2 linked regions of the Drosophila melanogaster genome follow. The protein of the gene in region 1 interacts with the protein of each later gene in a pairwise test. Each region holds a gene or a part of one and is shown in the gene's direction. Other genes may lie near its edges. The genes, in order: CAH2 and CG17110.

Region 1 (5,946 bases):
ACGCTGTGCGTATTAAAATTCTGTTGGATTATCTGCTTGCTAGTTGTTTAATTAATTGTTTTATTTTTTGTCGATCTATTCGCTTGGCATTGCAATGCATTAATTAATTTGCAATTCTTGATTGTATTAAACTTTTTTGCCTGCAATTAAATCCCTATTATTTTGCCATAACATAACTAATTGTTTAAACAAAAAAAAAAATATCAGTTCCCTTTGAAGTTTTCACTGGAGACAAGTTAAATGAAATGACGCAAATAATATACATATGAATATTGTTAACATCGAAGATATAAAGCATTCCTTTGTTCAGATCAATTATGGCTGTTAAATCTGATTGACTAGGCTGGTTTGCCCACTGAATTAGCTAAGATCTGTGCGCGTTTAGACAACCTATCATCAGTTTGAAAACCGGAAATATCCCACTCCGTTTGTTTTCCGACCCCAAATTAATGTAATGGCGTTGCGTTAATCTGTTTGCCAGTTTTAAAGGTAGTGATAACTATTGATTCGTTTGCGGGATTCGATGGAAAAGCCATGGCTATCGATGTCGGGGGAAATGGTTACATCGTGGAAAGTGGAAAACAAACAGGCTGCACAATGCGATTAGCATGCAATAGTAATGCCATTTAATGTGCCTAGTGCATTTGCGACATGTGATGCAAAGATAAACAGCAAAGCAATCAGGCTGAGTATCGCACACAGATATGGAGATAAGCCCCCACAATTTCACCGATCACCCCCCAGCCATTCACATATTCGTACATATATATATATACATATGTATATATGTTTGAACAATACTCTGAGCTGTCGATCATCCGGAGCCCGAAGTTTTCGGGTTTTGTAACCCCCTCAAGTCAAGACCTAACTCTCTTTTATTCGAGTGTTTTCGACTCGAACAATCGAAAATTGACTTTCCAGTCGCGTCTTTCGGTCTTCCCCGCCATGGATTACCATCTTTATCGCAGTCATCTAATTTGGCAGTTACTCATCGACGGTTAAGTCCGGCACGCACACCATTAGTCACTCGGCTATAAATTAATCGCTGGTTTTTCGGACCTCGCATCGGGCATACCCTGTGATACCTTAGATTCCCCGGCATATAGAAGCTATCAAAGAGACACTATGACATAAGGTTGAACTAAACTAACGGAAACTTCAAAAGCTTACGGCGATAGTGTAGTAGTACACCCAAGGGTGCGTCGCTAGGAACAGAAAGTTAAAAATCCCCATCAAATATGATCATGCTTTACTCTGAGCTATACGAATAAATTATTTTTCTAAACAGGTTACTACCCAATAATTTGCTTAATACCAGCAAGCTCTTTAATTATTTTATAGCGCTAAAAAAAAACTTTATAGTTAAAGTGAAGCACTTAAGAGGCACTATTAATTGCCGTACTGTTAATTAAACAGTGTAGCCCATAAAAAGTTTGTTATTATAAGACATGGATAGTAAAAACTCATTACTGGGGGATTTCTCAGTTGCGATTTCACTCAAGACAGTACTATTTATTCTAGTATCCAGTTGAGTGGAATATTTTCACAAGTAAGTCAAAGTAACCCAAATGCTTCAATTCAATGGCAAGGTTAGGGCAACCTAAAGTCATCCGGATGGTTAACCTTTTAAATTCCCATCGACACCGGATTGTGGCTGGCGTTTTGGTGGCTTGGTTTGGTTGGGTTTGGTTTCCCTTGGCTTGGCGCCCAAATAGGTCGCTTCTCTATCTCTCGAGTGGATAGGAAAGTTCCGCCGACCACTGGGCTTCCAACTCGATTGGCAGCTACGAAAATATATATATATAAAAAAAATGGAAAAAAAAAAAACGGAAAATAACACAGAAGCACCACAAACCCTCGACGAGGCTATATAAGTTGCGGTGTCGCCGATTCCCTAACCGCAGTTGTGTGACCGCGTTCGGCGGGTGAGCACGGATAGTAAGACAGTGTCTCCACTGTCAGCTTAAAACCGTTCGAAAGCCACTAGATTTGTGTGCCCCAGTGCCGCAAATAGTTACAGTTCGTAAATTAGTCGCGACTGGTGACAGTGCCCAGTAATTCCCGATAAGGGCAAGTGTGTTCCGTGAAAAGTGAGTCCGCGGCAAGGTGAAACCATGAGGAGGTGTCGCAACACCCCGTTCGCAATTGTCATTGCTCCGATCTTGATTTGTGGTGAGCTAAACTACAATATATGCTATATAGTTTTATTTACATACAAACATAAGTACATAAACATGTATATACTATAAAGGTGTAACCCGATAATGGGGAACTGTTGACCAAAAGTGCGTTAATCAAGATACGGGGATTGCAATTAAGCTCTTTGTGTGCTCTCATCTCTTGCGGCAAAGTGTTTACTCAGCTAAGTGCAGCAAATATTTAAACAATTGTCCAGGACTTTGTCGCACTACAAGGAAATTAAAACGCTCTTATTTGATCAAGCACCGTTTCAAGTGGAGGGTTTTTGTTTTATTTCGTCCACTTTACCTGCAGAGAAAACCAGAAGGGCAACCTTTATGTTAAGATATGTAGTAACATATTAGTTTAAAATAAGGGAGCAAAAAAAAAGAATAAGGTTTAACCAAACAATAGTGCGTAAAGAAGTAAAATTTATTATATGCAGATAAATATAAATAAAAACCATTTACTAGTTTACTAGTACCAGGTTATACTACTACCTACAAGTTAGACTAGTTATACATCATTACAAAGCAACTCGATTATCTTGGTTATAAATCAGTAAAATTTTTTTTTATTAAATCACAGTATGAAGCTTTTACGATGGTATCACTATCTAGAGATAGATCGAGGATCCAGAGTAGTTCTGCAATGGGAATTGTATATTTATTTATAGTTACCTACAAGCTGGTCACGTGATTGATCTTCAACCTTCCACCTGCCATTCGGGTGTCTTGGCTATTCGTCACCCGTGTCCACGATGATCAAACCAGAATGAGACATGACCAGACCACATGATACCCGCTGTCGTTAGGCAATCACAAGGGAATTTTTTCGATGTTTTTTTTTAATTATCCTATTAAGATTCACTTTGCTTAACAACGGTGTGAGCTTAGTTGGGAATACCATACTAAATGCGCTGCTAATAGAATTTGTATCGTAATTAACTTAAATTTGGCAAAAATTAGGCAACTTGTTAATGAGAGATAATTTTGGTATAGGTGTTCGGCTAAATTTGCTATCATTTTCGGTGGCCCACAAATTAGCCAATAATCGGTCGGTTATTGTATAAAAAATTTAACAAATTAAAGATTGTATTTACAATTGACTGCTGCGCCCTTCCCTATGCAAACTGAAATAAACTTTACACGCTTAATTGTTACCCGATTAATGCTAATTGAATGGCCAATTAGGGCTGTCTAGATTTTAGAACTGTCTGAACTGCTTGTCAATGAATAAAAAGTGTGCAAAATGTATAGGACACACAAATCGCATATTTATAGCTTTCGCTGTGACCAAAAATAGCTGATAGATTGCTTAAACAGGTATCACTGATTACACACCCACTCGATGTCACGAAATGTCACCGACATTATCGTTTAATTAGCACCTGGCTGGCTCGATTAACTGTCTCTGTTTGTTTGCCCCCATTGAAGAATATCTATTATATATTTTGACGCACATTCGAGGAGATGAATTTGCCATTTTAATGAATTTATTTAATACATTTTTAGCTTCTTTGGTCTTGGCCCAAGATTTTGGCTACGAGGGCAGACATGGACCCGAGCACTGGAGCGAGGATTACGCCCGCTGCAGTGGAAAGCACCAGAGTCCCATAAACATCGACCAGGTCAGCGCCGTGGAGAAGAAGTTTCCCAAGCTGGAGTTTTTCAATTTCAAAGTGGTGCCCGACAATCTTCAAATGACGAACAACGGTCACACGGTGCTGGTGAAGATGAGCTACAACGAGGACGAGATCCCAAGTGTGCGTGGTGGTCCTTTGGCGGAGAAAACTCCTCTGGGCTATCAGTTCGAACAGTTCCACTTTCACTGGGGCGAGAACGATACGATTGGCAGTGAGGATTTGATCAACAATCGTGCCTATCCCGCCGAGTTGCACGTGGTATTGCGGAATCTAGAGTATCCGGACTTTGCCAGCGCCCTGGACAAGGATCACGGCATCGCCGTGATGGCCTTCTTCTTTCAGGTGAGTGCTGACTTTTGGAGTTTAAGAACATAGATCCTTATACAGAAATATATTCCATTAGGTGGGCGACAAATCAACTGGTGGCTATGAGGGCTTCACCAACTTGCTCTCCCAGATTGACCGCAAAGGCAAGAGCGTTAATATGACCAATCCACTTCCACTGGGCGAGTACATCTCGAAGTCCGTGGAGAGTTACTTTAGCTACACTGGTTCTCTGACCACACCGCCTTGCAGTGAGGAGGTCACCTGGATTGATTTCACAACGCCCATTGACATCACGGAGAAGCAGGTAAATAAATATTTAAGTGAACCTTGTTTTTTATGTTTTACACTATACTCTTCCCTTGCAGTTGAATGCCTTCCGTCTGCTGACAGCCAACGATGATCATCTGAAGAACAATTTCCGACCCATCCAGCCGCTGAACGATCGCACCTTGTACAAGAACTACATAGAAATTCCGATTCACAACATGGGCTCGATTCCACTCGTCGATGCGGAAAATGCGGCTGGCAAGTGGAGGGCACAAGCCGCAGCAGTGCTGTTGCCCCTCGTTGTCCTCGCTGCATTGTCAAGGACCTCCATTTTCCGGGGTTTTTAATTAGAGTTCTGCGGTGGTAAATCGAAGGTTAAATCGTTAAATGCCTAGCTGGCGCTTAGGCGTCCAATTAAGCGCTGTAATTTACATTTTCCGCTCTTGTTCGCCGTCGCTGTTTGTTGTTCAAACACGAGTCCCGGTAATTTCCTTCGGCAAGGACTCAACTGCCGTCAGGACATCCATTCATATCCACACACACACACATATATATATATATATAAATATATATATATGGGCAAACAAACAGGCGGACGGTGGGCGAAATTATTAAACCCCAAATGGGCGGAGCTTCAGCTGGCACGAAACCCTTACTCATCAATTATGCAGCACCTCGCACAGCGACTGTCAACCGAATCGTACCCCGTATCCGTACCCGTTCCCGTACCCGTACCCGTTCCCGTACCCGTAACCGTATCCGTATCCGTATCCCCATATTCCCTTCCGTCCGAGGAGGCCCGCCAGTGCGAGGGGAACCCCCTGGATGTCCTCGCTATTGCACATTGTGATTTTAAATGCTTGGCACAAGCAGAGCTTTTTATTCGTGTACCTTAGATTTAAGTTTTGTAAACATAAAACCGTAATAAATTTTATTGTTTAACATCTCATAAAGGGTGTTTTTAAAATGAGTGAGCTCTTCATGTTATTGTGTGACATATTCAAAATTTGAATTTCAAAATACAATATTCGAATAATTGAAGTATACTTTTTGGCCAGGCTTAGAAATGTATTTCACCCTTAAAAAATTAACGAAATATTTCTAGACAAAGTCCTGCTTCCACGGACATCTTTACAAAGCAAGTTTGGTTTGATTACTTGTGTATTTGATTTAATTGTCGCATTATTCATAATAATCGTATCAGTCTGAGAGAGTCTTGTGCCGGCTGATGACCTATTGACCCCACCTGTCAGCTAAATTACTAATGAATTATTGCAAGCATGTGCAGAAATCTATCAGCGAAATATTAACTTTTGTATTCAAGTCGAAGAGTTCGTCTGGCGAAAGTAGAAATGATTTATTCAAAATTACTTGAGGCCGTAGTAATACTGTGGGGCCTTCCTAAAGTAAACTACATTATAGAACATTAGATAGAGGAAAAAGTCGGGATCTTGTAGGCAGCGGGCGCTATACTCTTTAAAACGGATTGTTTGTCATTCGGGTCCATTTGATGCCTAATAGCCTTGTCC
Region 2 (5,822 bases), on another chromosome or scaffold:
CTCTGAAAAAAGCTCGAACAAAAGGAAATGTACGCTCTGGGCCGAGGGATATGGTAAATGGTAAATGGCAGAGGAGGATTATATCAGTTCTCTCGCTTTTATTTTTTTTTTTTGCTTTTTTTGGCCAGGTAATGCGCCCATAACGGATTAGGCGATATCCTCGGGGTTCCATCTCTGCAGTTCTGCAGGTTTTGGGTGCTCAACGCAAACAGTTTCCGGCGTTGCCCGGATAATTGTTACAATATACAAAATTTTCATTTAGTTTATTTGCCCAGCGACAACATGTCAGCTCAGCAGCAACATCAGCAAACAACAAACAGGCGCGCCCCCAAGTCACCACCATGGGCGAAAAGTGAATAATTTGGCATCAGATAAGTAGATTCGTGTTTTACTCGACTAAGAATGAACTACTTTAGCCTCTGTACAGACTTATAGACTCTATTCTAGGGACATTACATTCGAATTATGCCAAAAACTTGCCATTTTGGCCCATTGTGCAGCTGAACGAGTGTTTGTGCGCAGGAAACTTGTGTATTTATTTGACTTATGTGACGCTGTAAATGGGGAGAGTACGAGTTTGTACGAATGTGGGGCTTGGATGTTATTTAAAATGCAGACATGTGTAGCCTGTAGTTGCTGCTATTGCTGCTGGTGCGCCATTAAAATCCCAGCAACATTGTTAATGAACTTTTAATGACTTTTTGTGAGTACACACACTAAAACAATATCAACTTTGGCCTAGCAGGGTGTGTATGCGACACAAATCAGAGGGCTTTGGTTTTGTGTATTTTTTTTGGCCCAACCACCTTTTTTTCTGTATGGGAACAAGCGTGAAATCTAAATGCGAAACTAACTTTTGACACACTACTGGGACAACAGACGCAGTGCAGCAAAGTCGGCAAGTGCAGCAGGAACACTATTAATATGCGAAATTTGAATTGGATTCGAGTGGCTGAAAGGCCCGAGGAGGGGCAACTTGTTTACCCGGAAGCCCACTGGGCGTGTGGTGCGAACGTGTGCAGTGCATCTTGATTAACAAATCAACTGGAATTGGAATGCGATTGCATGCGATTCATCAGTAATCGGAAATCTTGGCTGCGGGCCAAATGGGGTCACCATCAATCCAGCAATCCTGCAGTCCTGTTACCCCCAAAGCAATGCGAAGCACCTTCGCCTCCATTTAAGGCAAATAAATCCATCAGCCAGGGGGAATCCCAAGTAAATGAGCCTTAAAGTGGGTTCATATGTACCGGAAAGTGATGGAAGAATGTTCACCAATACATGGAGTGGAATCCCTACCAATTGGGATGGTACAGAAATAGAGTTCCACTCCTTGTGCTATGAGCTGCAAAATTCAGTTTAATTTATAAATAATGCAGTACAAGATAGAAATTACTATTAGGGGATGTCTCTTTTGTAATCAATTGAATTTTTGAGTGCTGGATATTAAATTCATCAAATTAGTTTCTCATATAGAAATGGGAAGACACGAATATTATTAATGACGGAAGCAATTGTTAACTGCAAGTCATTTGTACTGAAAAGTAGATTAGCCATCTAAAAAGTAAACAAATGCGTAAGATAAAACAGTTTATAGGCAGCACCGTATGATAAGAAATTAGGTTTAGTTCCTTCTCGGATTTATTATCATGCCCTCTCTTTCGCTCGCTTATCGCTGATATTTAAACGCGCGCTTCTCTCCACGATCGCACAGTCGTCGTCGAGCCAGTGTTGCGAAAGGTGTGTTGTGTGTCTGCTCTCCGCTGTGGTGAAGTGTCGATCAGCTGATTTCAGCAAACAATTTAATTGATTTGTTATCAGCCGGCTAATTATTTACATTTTATAGAGTGCAAAATGAGTACAGCCAAGTGGGAGAACAACGAGGAGATTAAGATCTTTCGCGAATATCTTCGCATACCAACGGTGCATCCAAATGTGGATTACAGTGAGTTCCAATGGGCATGTATATCTTTATGAGGCTGCGATAAGAGTACCCTGATCTTTATGACCTTGCCATAAAATGTGTCTGCTATTTATAGCCGTTTGCACGGAATTCTTGAAACGCCAGGCTGCCAGCTTGGACCTGCCCGTGGAGGTTATCTATCCGGTGAACGAGCAGAATCCCGTGGTGGTGCTAAAATGGCAGGGTTCCCAGCCGGAACTGCCCTCCATCATTCTCAATTCGCACACGGATGTAGTGCCCGTTTTTGAGGAGAAGTGGACACACGGTCCATTCAGCGCGGATCTAGATGCAGAGGGTCGCATCTTTGCGCGCGGATCGCAGGACATGAAGTGCGTGGGCACCCAATATCTGGGAGCTGTGCGTGCCCTCAAGGCCAGTGGCTATCAACCCAAGAGGACGATCTATCTCACTTATGTTCCGGACGAGGAGGTTGGCGGCCACCTGGGCATGCGGGAGCTGGTAAAGAGCGACTACTTCAAGAAGCTCAATGTGGGATTCAGTTTCGACGAGGGAATCTCTAGTGCGGATGAAACCTACGCTCTGTACTACGCTGAACGGACTCTTTGGCGTGAGTAGGATTGACTCATACAAACAATTTAAGCTAGCCATGTTTTCCTGCAGATCTTCGTTTCAAGATCAGCGGAACTGCTGGTCACGGATCACTGTTGCTCCCGAATACTGCTGGCGAGAAGCTGAACTATGTGGTAGGCAAAATGATGGAGTTCCGCAAATCGCAAGTGCAAAAACTAGCTGACGACTCATCCCTCGAAATTGGTGATGTGACCACTGTGAATCTCACCCAACTGAGGGGCGGAGTCCAGAGCAACGTGGTTCCCCCATTGCTGGAAGCTGTATTTGATATCCGCATTGCCGTCACCGTGGATATCCCTGCCTTTGAGAAGCAGATTCGCGACTGGTGCGAGGAGGCTGGCGGCGGCATTGAACTGGAGTTTGAGATGAAAAACCCCTTTGTGGAGCCAACAAAGATTGACTCGTCGAATGCCTACTGGCTGGCCTTTAAGAAAGCACTCGATGACCTGTAAGGATGAGAAGCTCTGACAAAAGGCATGGCTCTGATATCCTTTCTCCTTGTTTCTTTCAGTGGCCTCAAGACACGGGTTCGTGTTTTCCCCGGCGCCACGGACAGTCGTTATATTCGCTACGCAGGCATTCCAGCTCTAGGATTCTCGCCCATTAACAACACCCCCATCCTGCTGCACGACCACGATGAATTCCTGAAAGCCGATACCTATTTGCACGGCATTGAGGTTTACAAGAAGCTCATTCCTGCCGTAGCTGATGCTTAGCGAACTCAATTCAATTATGAAATAATGCATTTAATGCTTACTTGTCGATGTTTATTGTAATAACTTTAAACAAGCAGGCTTATAAAAACCCATTTAAATAAACAATGTATGAATAAATAAGCCAGTCCATAGTCCATACCATTAATGGTGAGCAAAAAAAGGAAATTTAAATGAAAATGAATAAGTTTATGGTTTACTATTATGGCTTTGCTAGATAACATTAAGCTCTTAGCGCAAAGATGAAAATCCGCAAATTGTGGGCTCTTCTAATCAAGTAGCTTAAAGTCAACAACTGATAATGCCATTAAGTCAATCCACACTCAGACTTCAAACCAAACAGCACGGTGGATTACAAGTCAGTTCCTTTAGAACCACGGGGCATTCAACTCAAAATGTGCACTTGCACGGAACAATGGAAGAACGACGAGGAAATAATCATTTTCCAGGAGTATTTGCGCATTCCCTCGGTGCATCCAGACGTGGACTACAGTAAGGATTTGTTTTTCCGCTCCTTGGATTTTGTTATCCCTATTTCCCTTGCAGCTGCATGCGTGGAGTTCCTAAAACGCCAGGCTAACAAACTTAATCTCCGCGTGGACGTGGTGTATCCTGTTGTGCCTTCGAAACCGGTGGTGATTATGAAGTGGCTGGGCAAGCATCCCGAGCTGAAATCCATTATATTGAACTCACACATGGACGTGGTGCCCGTGTTTCCCGAAAAGTGGACCCATGAGCCGTTTGGTGCCCACATAGACGCCCAAGGCCGGATTTATGCACGCGGTGCCCAGGACATGAAGTCCGTGGGATGTCAGTACATGGCTGCGGTCCGTGCACTCAAAGCCAGTGGCTATCAGCCAAAAAGGACCGTATATTTGACTTTTGTGCCCGACGAGGAAACTGGCGGACACATGGGCATGGCTGAATTCGTCAAGGGTGATTACTTCAAAGCCATGAATGTGGGCTTTAGCCTGGACGAGGGCATCGCCAGTGAAGATGACACTTATCCTGTATTTTACGCCGAGCGTACATTGTGGCGTAAGTCTTCCATTTGCATCAGTAGCAATATATTCTGATTCATTTTATACCCCTGCAGAACTTCGATTTAAATTCAGTGGCACTTCAGGTCATGGATCGCTGCTGCACAAAAGCACGGCTGGCGAAAAGTTTCACTTTGTGATGGATAAGCTGATGAAGTTCCGAGAAACCCAGGTCAAGCTACTGGCCGAGGACTCCTCCTTGCAGTCCGGTGATGTGACCACTTTGAACCTGACCCAACTCAACGGTGGCGTCCAAAGCAATGTGGTTCCCCCCGTACTAGAAGCCACTTTTGATATTCGCATAGCCATCAACCAGAATGCCGATGCAATGGAGAATCAGATTCGCGAGTGGTGCAACGAAGTCGGTGGTGGAGTGGAACTGGATTTCACGCTGAAGTGCCCCTCGGTGGTGACCAAGATAGACGACTCCAATCCCTACTGGCTGGGCTTCAAAAAGGGACTAGATGAACTGTAGGTAAACAAAGATTGTGTAGTTTTCACTTCATAATTTGTTGAAATTTTCCAGAGGTTTGATCACCCATACACGAGTTTTCCCCGGCGCCACCGATAGCTTCTACGTCCGGCAAGTGGGAATTCCCGCTCTGGGATTTTCACCCATCAACAACACCCCGGTGCTGCTGCACAATCATGATGAATATTTGCGGGCCGACACATATCTGCACGGAATTCAGGTGTACAGGAAGCTCATCCCCTCTATTGCTGATTCATAAAATGTTCAAGCGAAGTTCCACTCATAAATGGAAATCAATATGCTACAATTGGTCTTATCGCTTATGAGTAATGTTTTTGGCTCGATGAGTGTAGGACCAAAATTAAATGTTTAAATGGTGTGACTACTACAAATCATATCTGTTTCTAAACAAATGAAAATCACACACTGATAACACGAGTTTCAGAAGAGAGTTTTTGTCATGGACTTTGCCCTCATTCAATATCCAATAAATCGTCACAACTATTGATATCGTTCTCAAAAACTAACGTAACCTTCACGTAAAGGGGTTGTATTTTATATATACATCATAATTATCAATAATTACATTAATATGTATTCTATTTTCTTATCAAACCAAATACAAATTATAATAACCCATTTTTTCGCAGACCATAAACGACGGTGGTTGAGTTTTATTGGTGTTATGTGAACTTTATCGAATTGGCTACCGTTTGCTATTAGACATTTGTTTTGGTAGAATTTTGTACAAGAATATGTGCTGTTATCATTTCTATAACAACCGAGTTTGATAACGAACTCATTATTTGATAATAATACGAAGCCAAGGCCATAAAACCAAAATCACCCAACACACAAAAATTTCTGTATAAGTTCATTTTTTGCCAACTGCGGCACATTCGAGTTTGGTGACTGGCAGCGAAAACATATCCACAAAATGAGCACCGAAAAGTGGGAGGACAACGAGGAAATCAAAATATTCCGCGAATATTTGCGCATAGCTACGGTGCAGCCAAATGTGGATTACAGTAAGGATTCCCCAA

What was found.
Region 2: the proteins of CAH2 (region 1) and CG17110 interact in a two-hybrid assay, tested with the Drosophila melanogaster proteins (one large-scale study listed by BioGRID).

The regions. Positions count from the first base shown.
Region 1 is NT_037436.4:12,177,984-12,183,929, forward strand, and holds CAH2 (carbonic anhydrase 2), read left to right. Parts: upstream 1-1,892; 5' UTR 1,893-2,114; coding exon 2,115-2,172; intron 2,173-3,692; coding exon 3,693-4,165; intron 4,166-4,226; coding exon 4,227-4,454; intron 4,455-4,515; coding exon 4,516-4,764; 3' UTR 4,765-5,364; downstream 5,365-5,946.
Region 2 is NT_033777.3:23,090,017-23,095,838, forward strand, and holds CG17110 (uncharacterized protein), read left to right. Parts: upstream 1-1,707; 5' UTR 1,708-1,740; intron 1,741-1,760; exon of another isoform or gene 1,761-1,846; 5' UTR 1,847-1,854; coding exon of another isoform or gene 1,855-1,945; intron 1,946-2,039; coding exon of another isoform or gene 2,040-2,531; intron 2,532-2,584; coding exon of another isoform or gene 2,585-3,002; intron 3,003-3,065; coding exon of another isoform or gene 3,066-3,270; 5' UTR 3,271-3,417; exon of another isoform or gene 3,418-3,443; intron 3,444-3,481; exon of another isoform or gene 3,482-3,484; 5' UTR 3,485-3,662; coding exon 3,663-3,759; intron 3,760-3,813; coding exon 3,814-4,305; intron 4,306-4,363; coding exon 4,364-4,778; intron 4,779-4,833; coding exon 4,834-5,038; 3' UTR 5,039-5,168; downstream 5,169-5,822. Other genes in the region: CG6726 (uncharacterized protein), read left to right, coding at 1,855-1,945, 2,040-2,531, 2,585-3,002, 3,066-3,270; CG17109 (uncharacterized protein), read left to right, coding at 5,717-5,807.